3 separate regions of the Mus musculus genome follow, and regions 2 and 3 are each reported to be linked to region 1. Evidence: microRNA targets listed by miRTarBase, many of them from high-throughput screens and not tested one by one. Region 1 holds a microRNA gene; each other region holds the end of a gene's coding sequence.
The links. The annotated mature microRNA mmu-miR-181a-5p reads AACAUUCAACGCUGUCGGUGAGU and lies in region 1 at 2,177-2,199, shown strand. An mRNA with a match to its seed (bases 2 to 7 or 8) in the 3' UTR can be bound and repressed. Matches are read on the target gene's strand: a 7mer-m8 pairs with bases 2 to 8, a 7mer-A1 pairs with bases 2 to 7 and ends in A, and an 8mer does both.

Region 1 (3,184 bases):
CTGGTGGCTCTTGATTCAGGAAAAACTGCAAGGAAGCAGATGGTTAACACCAATTTAGAATCCTGGAATCTTAACATTTTCTAAAAATAGTCAAATAAGACTCGACACCTGACAGAAAATGTAAAATTTCAATACTGTCCAACATTAATATTCCAGCCAATTATCAAATTTGGAAAATAACAGTGCAGACAAGGTTAGCTAGTAAAATAGTGATTGGAACCAGCATTGTAGAAAGCCGAGGAAAGGTAAGCTAAATCAGCAAGTAGACATCTTTCCCCTGTAGAATACCGTCCTGAAGTTATTCTCTTACTGTGAGGCAGGTGCAGCAAGAGCAGAGGTGCTTTTCCTCATGGAGAGTGAGTTTAAGTTATTGAGAGGTTTTTCTCATCAAAAACTATAGCCATGAGAAAAGTACATGTTTCATTGGATAAATAGGAGTTAAAATATGTCAGTGATGTGATGTTTAATCTAATTTCTTACTAAACACCAATCACTTTCAATCTCCTAAGAACTTCATGATAGTATTCTCCGTAATTTTATTCTAAGAATTTGAGAAATTTGGACTTATATTTTCTACAGAGAATTTTAGAAGGTTCTGGAAACCCCTCACATTGCGGTGCTTTGCTATTAATTGTGATTCGGATGGAAATTGCTTGATCGTAGTTCCAATTTTGTATATTGAGATAAGGCAATGATCATGGCTTAGAGTCTCAGCTCAGCAGCCTTGAAAAAATGATATCAAAAGCAATGACAGGTATGTATAGAAGCAATGGGATGCTGGCCTGAATATGATAGTGCAGTGGTCAAGCAAGGGAACATGAGCAACATGCATTCTGGTGAAACTGATAACACAGATGGTCCCAGGAAGACTTGCTTTCCTTCCACAAGAGACAGCCCTCTGCAGGAAAGCTATCTCAAAGGAAGCCACACAGGACTATTCAGATTCATCAGTTTTATGTCTTGTAACTATCTGAAGTCTGAATGCATGCCATCAGCAGATCGTTACCTTATCTACCTCAAAATACCAGCCAGAGACACTTGTCCTGTAATCTCTTCGTGTACAAGATAATAAATGATTACAGGTTTAGCATACAATATTCTAAGTAAATAAAATGAATATGTATAAAAATTTGGACTGAATGGTTCACCAATATTTTATTAATAGTTACACACACACACACACACACACACACACACACACACACACACACACACATATATATATATATATATATATATATATATATATATATATATATATACTTATTAAAGCCACTTAAGAGTCTACATAAGTATAATGTAGTAACTTTCTACCCTAGTTTTGAGGAGTACAAAGGGATTTTTGTTTAAGTTGATATTTGAAATCAGTTTTGAAGACATGCTCAATAGAGTTCATACTAACTTGTAAATGCACTTCATTTCAAGAACACCTAGGAAATGGATAGAAGTTACTGCCAGATCCACTCAATCAAAACAAATAACAATATTAGGATATAATAACCAAAGTGAGAGGAGTTGAATTTCAGGCAGTAGGCATAGGTTGTATTAATTTTCATTGTAGTTTAAAGTCTTGTGTCATAAGCAAAGAAAGATGTGCTAAATTGGTTTGATTCCTTGATTGTTTTAAAAATAAGTATGTTTAAAAGAAATTATACTAATTAAAATGCCTATTGTAAAATAAATGCTTATTCCATGCACATTGTAAACATAGAAGTTCAAAATTGTTAGCAATGTAACTTGAGAAAACCTAAGTGGTTTCTGCTTGATTCTGCATGACCTACATGCGTCCTTGCAGTTCTTATTATATACATACCAATATTTAAATTATGAGATACTTAGATACTATTTGTTTTGCTTTTTGATAGTTCCAATTTTGTTGAATGATAAATTCTCCCTGTCTTTAACAGCCTGTAACTAAGCTCCCCCCAAAAGGACTTTTCTTCCCTTTTGAAAAAAAAAAATCCGATTCTTTTCTTTGACACAGCACAAAGTGGAGGTTTGCCAAGCTCTGGGCTGGAGGAATCCTGCTTCTTTTCTTCTGTACTCTTTTGAAATGGTTTAAAATGTGTGACAGGTTTGGTTAAAGGATTGGGCTTTCCTCTGCCTCCCTCCTGCTCCAGACTCCCACAGATACTGTTTAAATCAGCACATCTCTGCCTCACAGGTTGCTTCAGTGAACATTCAACGCTGTCGGTGAGTTTGGAATTCAAATAAAAACCATCGACCGTTGATTGTACCCTATAGCTAACCATCATCTACTCCATGGCCCTCTGCGTTTGCTGAAGACAGAACCGCAAAGCAGGACCCGACAGGATTCTCCCCGCCTCTTCAGAGACTATGTTTACAAAGGTCACAATCAACATTCATTGCTGTCGGTGGGTTGAACTGTGTAGAAAAGCTCACTGAACAATGAATGCAACTGTGGCCCCGCTTTTTGCTGTCGCAATCAACAGACGTTCCCTCCCTAATAGAGGTCCTGGGGGTATTAACGCCGTTTCTCGGTTTAACTTCTGCTGTCTGAACTTTCAGGTTTGTTTATTCAATTCATATCAAGTCCTATTTCTGTGAGGAAGTCACTAATTTATATAAGAATACTGCTTTTCTATACTCCTGGGGGTTACAAATGGGGCATTTCTTAAAAATGCTAAAGTGTTGGATGCCCAGAATCAACTGTGTAGCCCTGGGTTGGCACGGCTTCCTGCTCTGCTGTGCTGGTGGGAGGAAGAACCAAAGAAATATCTTACTTCCTGCCCCGTTATCCGTCACATTGTTACACAGAAAATAACCATCCCCTCATCTTTCATTAGATTTCTTGGTCAAAATGGGCTTGAAGCAAGAGGGAATTCTTTTGCTCTGCATAAAGAATCGCTGAAATGGCTCTACTCTCTATGGAATTGGTAGGCAGAGGGATAGTACCTCAATAGCCAAGTACTTTGTTATCCAGGGGCTCATTATAATCATGCAATAGATTTGTTTCCCCAGAGAGACCTCAGATTTAAGATTATAGTTCATCATCTTTATTTACCCTCTACTTTCTTCTGAAATGGTAGACTTGATTCCAGGGACTGTCTTCAAGCAAGTGTGTGTGTGTGTGTGTGTGTGTGTGTGTGTGTGTGTGTGTGTGTGTGTTTCCTAACTAGTTTGGCTCTATAATTTCAAAAAGAACATCTGTCATTAAGGTTCA
Region 2 (3,184 bases), not on the chromosome of region 1:
ATCAGCCCTGCTGCTGTAGAGGCTTTCCTGGGCCCTCCAGCTGCTGTCACCAAAGAATACAATCCTTTTGAGGAAGATGCTGAGGAAGAGGAGGTGGCAGAGTTGGGGGCAGGAAATCCCTTCACCGACCCAGACAGTCCAGCACCCAACCCTTTTGATGAGGATGACGGTCCCAGGCCTGCCAGTCCAGCCGCCCCTGGAAACCCTTTTGAAGAGTGCCCCTCCACCAACCCCTTCGAGGTGGACAGTGATAGTGGCATGGAGGCCGAGGAACACATCGAGGAGGAGCTGCTCCTGCAGCAAATTGACAACATCAAGGCTTACATCTTTGATGCCAAGCAGTGTGGGCGAATGGACGAGGTTGAGGTTCTAACGGAGAACCTCCGGGAGCTGAAGTGCACCCTGGCTAAGCAGAAGGGGGCCCCTAATTGACAGCAATGGGCAGGAACTGGGCAGAGTCTTGGGCAGCAGGATATCAAGTGTGAGGTGGGGATGGGCAGGCATCTGAACACACACAGGTTGGGGTGGGAACAGTAGTCTCTTGCTGTGCACTTTGAGACATTTCCACTACAGTTGAGCAAGAACGGGAAAAACAATCGGCATTCATGTGCTGGTTTTTCTGTATTCTTTTTTTAATGAAGTATTCCATTTTCAGGGGACTTTACCATTTTATTTTCAAGATACAGCTCTGTTGGGCCAAGGCAGAAATGGCTCATGGGCACCTCTTAGTTCATTTTCTGCGGACTGTTGTTGGTCATTATGCAGTATTATAGGGCAGCCCTTGACAGGCCCTTCCTGTAGCCAGGATAGGCAGGGCTCTAGCAGAAGTCTGTCCTGACTTGGTTGTTCCCTTTCAGCACGTCACTTAGGGAGATACTGCTGTGAAGCCCAGTGGGACCAGGGCCTCTTTATGGATGGCAGGAATGTTGCCAGTGTTGTCCCCTCCCAGTTAAAGGAAGTAAAATTCCCAAGTGTGAGGGTAGTGGGCTGGTGGTGTCAGTGTGAGCTTGACTGTGAGATAGTAGTGTTCAACTTTTTGGCGGATGTTATGGTTTGGAGAAGTTTCTACTTATGCAGCTGTCTGATCCCCTGGGAACCTCCTTCCAGGTCTTTGGTAGAATGACCGTTCTGCAGGTCACATTCAAGGGCCTGTTGATTTGGAATTGTGACTGGGAAGCTTCTGTGGAGTATTAGCAGGTGATGGAACACTTCTGAGTCAGGATGATTCTAGTAACTTCAAGGCCCTCCAGTCAGCCCTCTTCCTTGTGGTTTATCCTGACCTGGGAAACTGGTAAGATGTACTGAGAAATGGAAATATTTGAGGCACAGCCTGAGACCATTCCACAGCCCTGAAGTACTTGAACTCTTGATAGAAAACAGAAAGGGAAGTTATGTAGCTTAGTACTTTGGTTTACAGGAACAGATCGATTGACAGATGACCTTGTAAGGTTCTTGGTGTGCTCAGCTCTGGGTAATTTCTTTGGTGATGATACTCTTTAGTTAATGGACAATAACTGTCCACTAGTCACTTTCCCCTCAGCTTTCTCTGGGCCATGCCTTTTGTTGGTTACTGGTGTATAAGCTGAAAGTCTTCTGTCACATTCTGGTGAAGATCCATCTAGGTGGTAAGAATGTTATCTGGGTGCAAAGATCTCTATGTTGGCAGCTTTAATCCCAGTTCATTAGTACATGTTGGGGCTTTGGCTGGATAGAGAGCCCTGTATGGGGCTATGGGAAGGGCTGGAGAAGGAGGGAGCGTATGAACCCTTTGAGTTCTGCTGACAGGTGTTTACTGGCCTGCTAGTAGATTACCAGCCATTTGCCAGCTCTGTTGGTGTCAAGATGTTCTGGAAGGTAGGCAGCCTGGCATTTTATGTTACCTGGGGCAGGCTACCTCTTTCTAAAGCCCAGGCTCCAGGCATGCCCACCATATCTGCCCTGCTTGGTCTGCTATTGTGTCATGGACAAAGAGGCAGTGCTAACACAAGAATGAAGCTAAATTCTGGTTTCCACCATTACTTTTCCAGACTCAAATCAGGTGTTCAGGGTGGTACAACTGTAGACAATGCTTTTCTTATAAGACTGGGCTTCTTAATTAGCTGTGAGTGACTCGATGGGCAGTAGTGGCACATGACTTTTATCCCAGCACTTGGGAAGTAGAGGCAGGAATTTCTGAGTTCCAATCCAGCCTGGTCTACAGAGTGAGTTCCAGGACAGCCAGGGCTACACAGAGAAACCCTGTCTCAAAAAACAAACAAATAAATAAATAAACAAAAATAAAAATTGAGAAAAAAATTATCTAGTGACTTATTAAATGTACTTCTTTCTGGAACTCACCCCAGGTAGCAGTCTGACTGAGAGCATGGAGAAAACAAATGCTTTTAGACTGACTGACTATTAAACCGGGTGAACCCAGATCCCAGAGGGTTTCCTGAGTTTCTCATTGAATTCCTCGCTGACCATATTCTGAAAGTCCAACAGAACACGAGAGACTTGTCTGCCCCTTGTCTGGATCAGCTCCCAGAATGCATGCAGGTCAGAGTTGGTTTGCAGAGGGGGTTTGGCCTGTGAGGGAACCACAGTGCCAGCTTCTTACCGTGGGTGAATACTCGATGATTCCCAAGGATGGAGCACGTCCTTGATACGGTGTTGGCAGATCCCTTAGGTGTAGGTCCTGTTCATAGTGGACAGGCTTCTTGCTTATTCCCTTCTAACAACACTAAGGAACTGGAGCCTCATCACTGCACTTACCACATATCATGTCTTTGTCGTCAGACAGTAAAACATCTTTCTAAGTCATCATGAGCCATATTGTGTAGCTATGCCATGCGGTTCAAATTGTGGAATTGGCCTCGGTACGAGGTCAGACTAGAGGAGCTCGGTGTGCTGGTAATCATGATGACTGTCAGCAAGATGGTCATTGATGCGCATGCACTACACTGGGGCCTTGTATTAGAGGCTTTTATTAAAAACATTAAAATATCATTTATGTAAGGCTTTTATTAAAAAAATAACATGTTCATGGCTGGACTTGTGTGTGCTTAAAACGTCCCTTCACTTCCTTTTTGTAATGTGTGTGTGAATGTTTGCATGTGCACATGGAGGGGTGTGTGTGTGTGTGAGTGAGTGAATGTTTGCATGTGCACGTGGAGACCAGAGGACAACCTTGGGTATTAGTCTTAGG
Region 3 (3,184 bases), not on the chromosome of region 1:
CAAAATCTGAATTGTGGAGAGTGTTTAATGTAATTGGTCCAAGGACCAGACCTTAGTGACCCAAATTAGTCCAAGTTTCTCATTCTACTCATGAGACAGACTAGGTCTTGATAATTAAGATAATTTGCTGAACAGTACTACAGATTAGACACTGGAAATACTATTCTCCTCCTGACTGTTCTGAGAACTTGGTTGTTATCCCCTATGTAAAAAAAAAAAAAAAAAAAAAAAAAAAAAGAACAAACCCATTTTGAGCTGAACATGAACATGAAGAATATTTGTAAACATTTATTTATATCTTGGTTCCATTGTCTCAAAATATTTTCAGCCTCCTGGTTCATAAATAAATTTTCTTATTTGAATACAAAATATTAATATATTCTTACTGAGAAAGCATCATGGGATGTTGTAGTAGTGACAAGTCAACTAATTGAGGATGATAGGATTGTAATGAAGTAAATAATTCTCGGAAGTGCTCCGTGAAGAAGGGAGCTGTGTCTTCTCAGTATTCATCCCCAAATAATTCACATTTTGCTATTTTTATGCCACTGTGATTTTCATGCATTTTAATTTCTCCTTATTTCTTTATAGACAGAATAACCAGAACATTACAGATTATACTAGAAGTTGTACCAGAAGACTCTAAAGAATTATGAACTTAATGCATCAAAAGCTTGGCCATCTGCCCAGGATTGAGATACAAAATGGATTTTTATTTCAAGAAAACACAACGTTGATGATGGACTAAAGGAATCAGTTATCTCTATTCATATCCTCTAGCGTATTCAAATTAATTTCTGAGCAACTTACTGGTAACTCCATGTATTTGTAGCAAGCTAATATGCAAGTCATACAGTGAGGCAAGCTCACAGTTCTTGAGTCTAGTGCCTATCTGCTGGGGGGAAAGGAAAAAAAACCTAAGGGCTTTGGTACCTGGGCTATCATTCCTCTACCACGTTTCTTATCATGACTGAGAACCTTGAACAGAAGACCAAAATGGTTTCTGTATATATGAGGTCTATAAACATAGCTTTACCTACTGGGGACATCTATACTGTGAAAGTATTTTGTTTTTTATTTTTCTGGAAAAAAATGTCATTATTGTAGCAAAGAAGGTAGAATGACTTTGATATTGACATTGGACTCTTTTCCCTTAGTGATCAACATGGCTGTCACTTATCTTTCAATGGCTTATACTCAGAGCATCAGAACAAAAGATGAGGGAGTAGTGTGTGTGAGTGTGTGTGTGTGTGTGTGTGTGTGTGTGTGTGTGTGTGTGTGTGTGTGTGTGTGTAGCTTGAGATCAAATTCAGGGCTTTACAAAAGCCAGACAAGCACTCTACCATTGAAATACACATACACCCTAATTTTCCTAAATGCATAAAATAAGTATTTCCAGGGGTTAGTATTCATGACACAATCCTAGGAACTATGTTTGTACTAAAATCATTGAGAACTTGTTAGGTTAACTTCATCATAGCTCATTGTGAGGAAGCTCGGTGTTTGCAACATCACTGTGCATTCATTGTGGTTTGTTTTTTTCCTGAAAATGTGTACAGTTTGGTATGCTATCCATTGGTGAACCACCTCTTTGATAATTTACTTCTTGGTGGACAAAAATGTTTTCCTCATCACAGTACAACATCAGCATGGGAGACATTGCCCATAAATCTCCAAGTATCAGGCTTTCTCTTTATGAGCCCCATTTATATGCAGTGTTAGTAATTACTCACTTTTACTTTGTGGCTGTTTTCACCTGGTGATGAGTTTTTGACAGTGTGTGCATTCTCTTTACAGTTCTGTTAAAATATGCCTCTGGTTAAAACTATCTGGATCAATTAGGAAAAGTGCAGATTTACATAAAAACTATGAACGAAATGCCACTGCTTCGTGAAAATCTAGGCTGTTTCAGTCATTTCTTCACTTTAGTTATAATTCAATTTGCAAAAGAGGGAGATGTGACCAAACCCATTGAAGGAGAGTCTTCAGTACGGTTGTTCAGCTAGCTACATATGTTAAATCAGAGTTAGAAAACAGTAGCCATATTCAAATGGAATTAATGCAATGGTGGGATTTTCAAAATATTTTTCTAACATCCAAAAATTAAATGCTCAGCATAGTCACAGTTAATTTCATCTCTTATATTCTGACCACGTAAAACCACAATGTTTTAAAAAATTATCCTGAACTGGGCATTGGCCAGGTCACCACCAAGTACCACAGTGGGAGGCTGGTAGTTAATGCCAACCTTGAAGCCAGTGGGGCACCAATCTATAAACTGGATGCTGTGCTTGGTCTTGATGGTGGCAATGGCAGCATTGACTATTTGGGACCCACATAACCACGGTACAGCAGGCAGCAAGCCATGTATTTACCATGGCAAGGGTCATATTTCACCATCTGGTTGGCTGGCTCAAAGCAGGCATTGGTGATCTCTGCTACAGAAAGCTGCTCATGGTAGGCTTTCTCAGCAGAGATGACAGGGGCATAAGTGGCCAGAGGGAAGTGGATACGAGGGTAGGGTACCAGGTTGGTCTGGAATTCTGTCAGATCAACATTCAGGGCCCATAATCAACGGAGAGACACTCCATCAGCAGGGAGGTGAAGACAGAGCCAGTTCCCCCACCAAAGCTGTGGAAAACCAAGAAGCCCTGGAGATCCGTGCACTGGTCAGCCAGCTTATGAATCCTGTCCAGGACAAGGTCAATGACCTCCTTGCCAGTGGTGTAGCGGCCACGGGCATAGTTATTGGCAGCATCCTCCTTGCCTGTGATGAGCTGCTCAGGGTGGAAGAGCTGGCAGTAGGTGTCAGTGAGAACTTCATTGATGACTGTGGGTTCCAGGTCTATGAACACTGCCTGACGCACATGCTTGTCATCTCCTGTCTCACTGAAGAAGGTGTTGAAGGAGTCATTTCCTCCCCCAATGGTCTTGTCACTTGGCATCTGGCCATCAGGCTGGATGCCATGTACCAGGCAGTAGAGCTTCCAGTAGGCATTGCTGATCTGGACACCAGCCTGGACAACATGGATGGAGATGCACTCACGCATGATATCAATTGCTTAGAGGGTGAGGGTGAGAGAGAGAAGCAGACACTGGGTCTCGATTACCATTCCCGACAACTAAGAGTCGACATAAGTAACGCAATGAGGCCATAAAACAGGTTTTAAATTCAGGAATACTC

Region 2: miRTarBase lists Rbsn as a target of mmu-miR-181a-5p. The part of its 3' UTR that is shown has no 7-base or 8-base seed match.
Region 3: the mRNA of Slc7a11 is a reported target of mmu-miR-181a-5p. The part of its 3' UTR that is shown has no 7-base or 8-base seed match.

The regions. Positions count from the first base shown.
Region 1 is chr1:137,964,292-137,967,475 of GRCm38, forward strand. Mir181a-1 (microRNA 181a-1) reads left to right here and starts at 2,164; the gene lies at 2,164-2,250. It overlaps Mir181b-1 (microRNA 181b-1), which reads left to right and starts at 2,348; the gene lies at 2,348-2,427.
Region 2 is chr6:92,186,558-92,189,741 of GRCm38, reverse strand. It overlaps Rbsn (rabenosyn, RAB effector), which reads left to right. Exons shown (of 12, transcript NM_030081.3): 12 at 1-3,030. The coding sequence ends at 432. Among named protein-coding and RNA genes, the nearest start is that of Mrps25, 4.1 kb to the right of the region's middle.
Region 3 is chr3:50,369,774-50,372,957 of GRCm38, reverse strand. It overlaps Slc7a11 (solute carrier family 7 (cationic amino acid transporter, y+ system), member 11), which reads left to right. Exons shown (of 12, transcript NM_011990.2): 12 at 592-3,184. The coding sequence ends at 656. Among named protein-coding and RNA genes, the nearest start is that of Slc7a11, 72 kb to the left of the region's middle.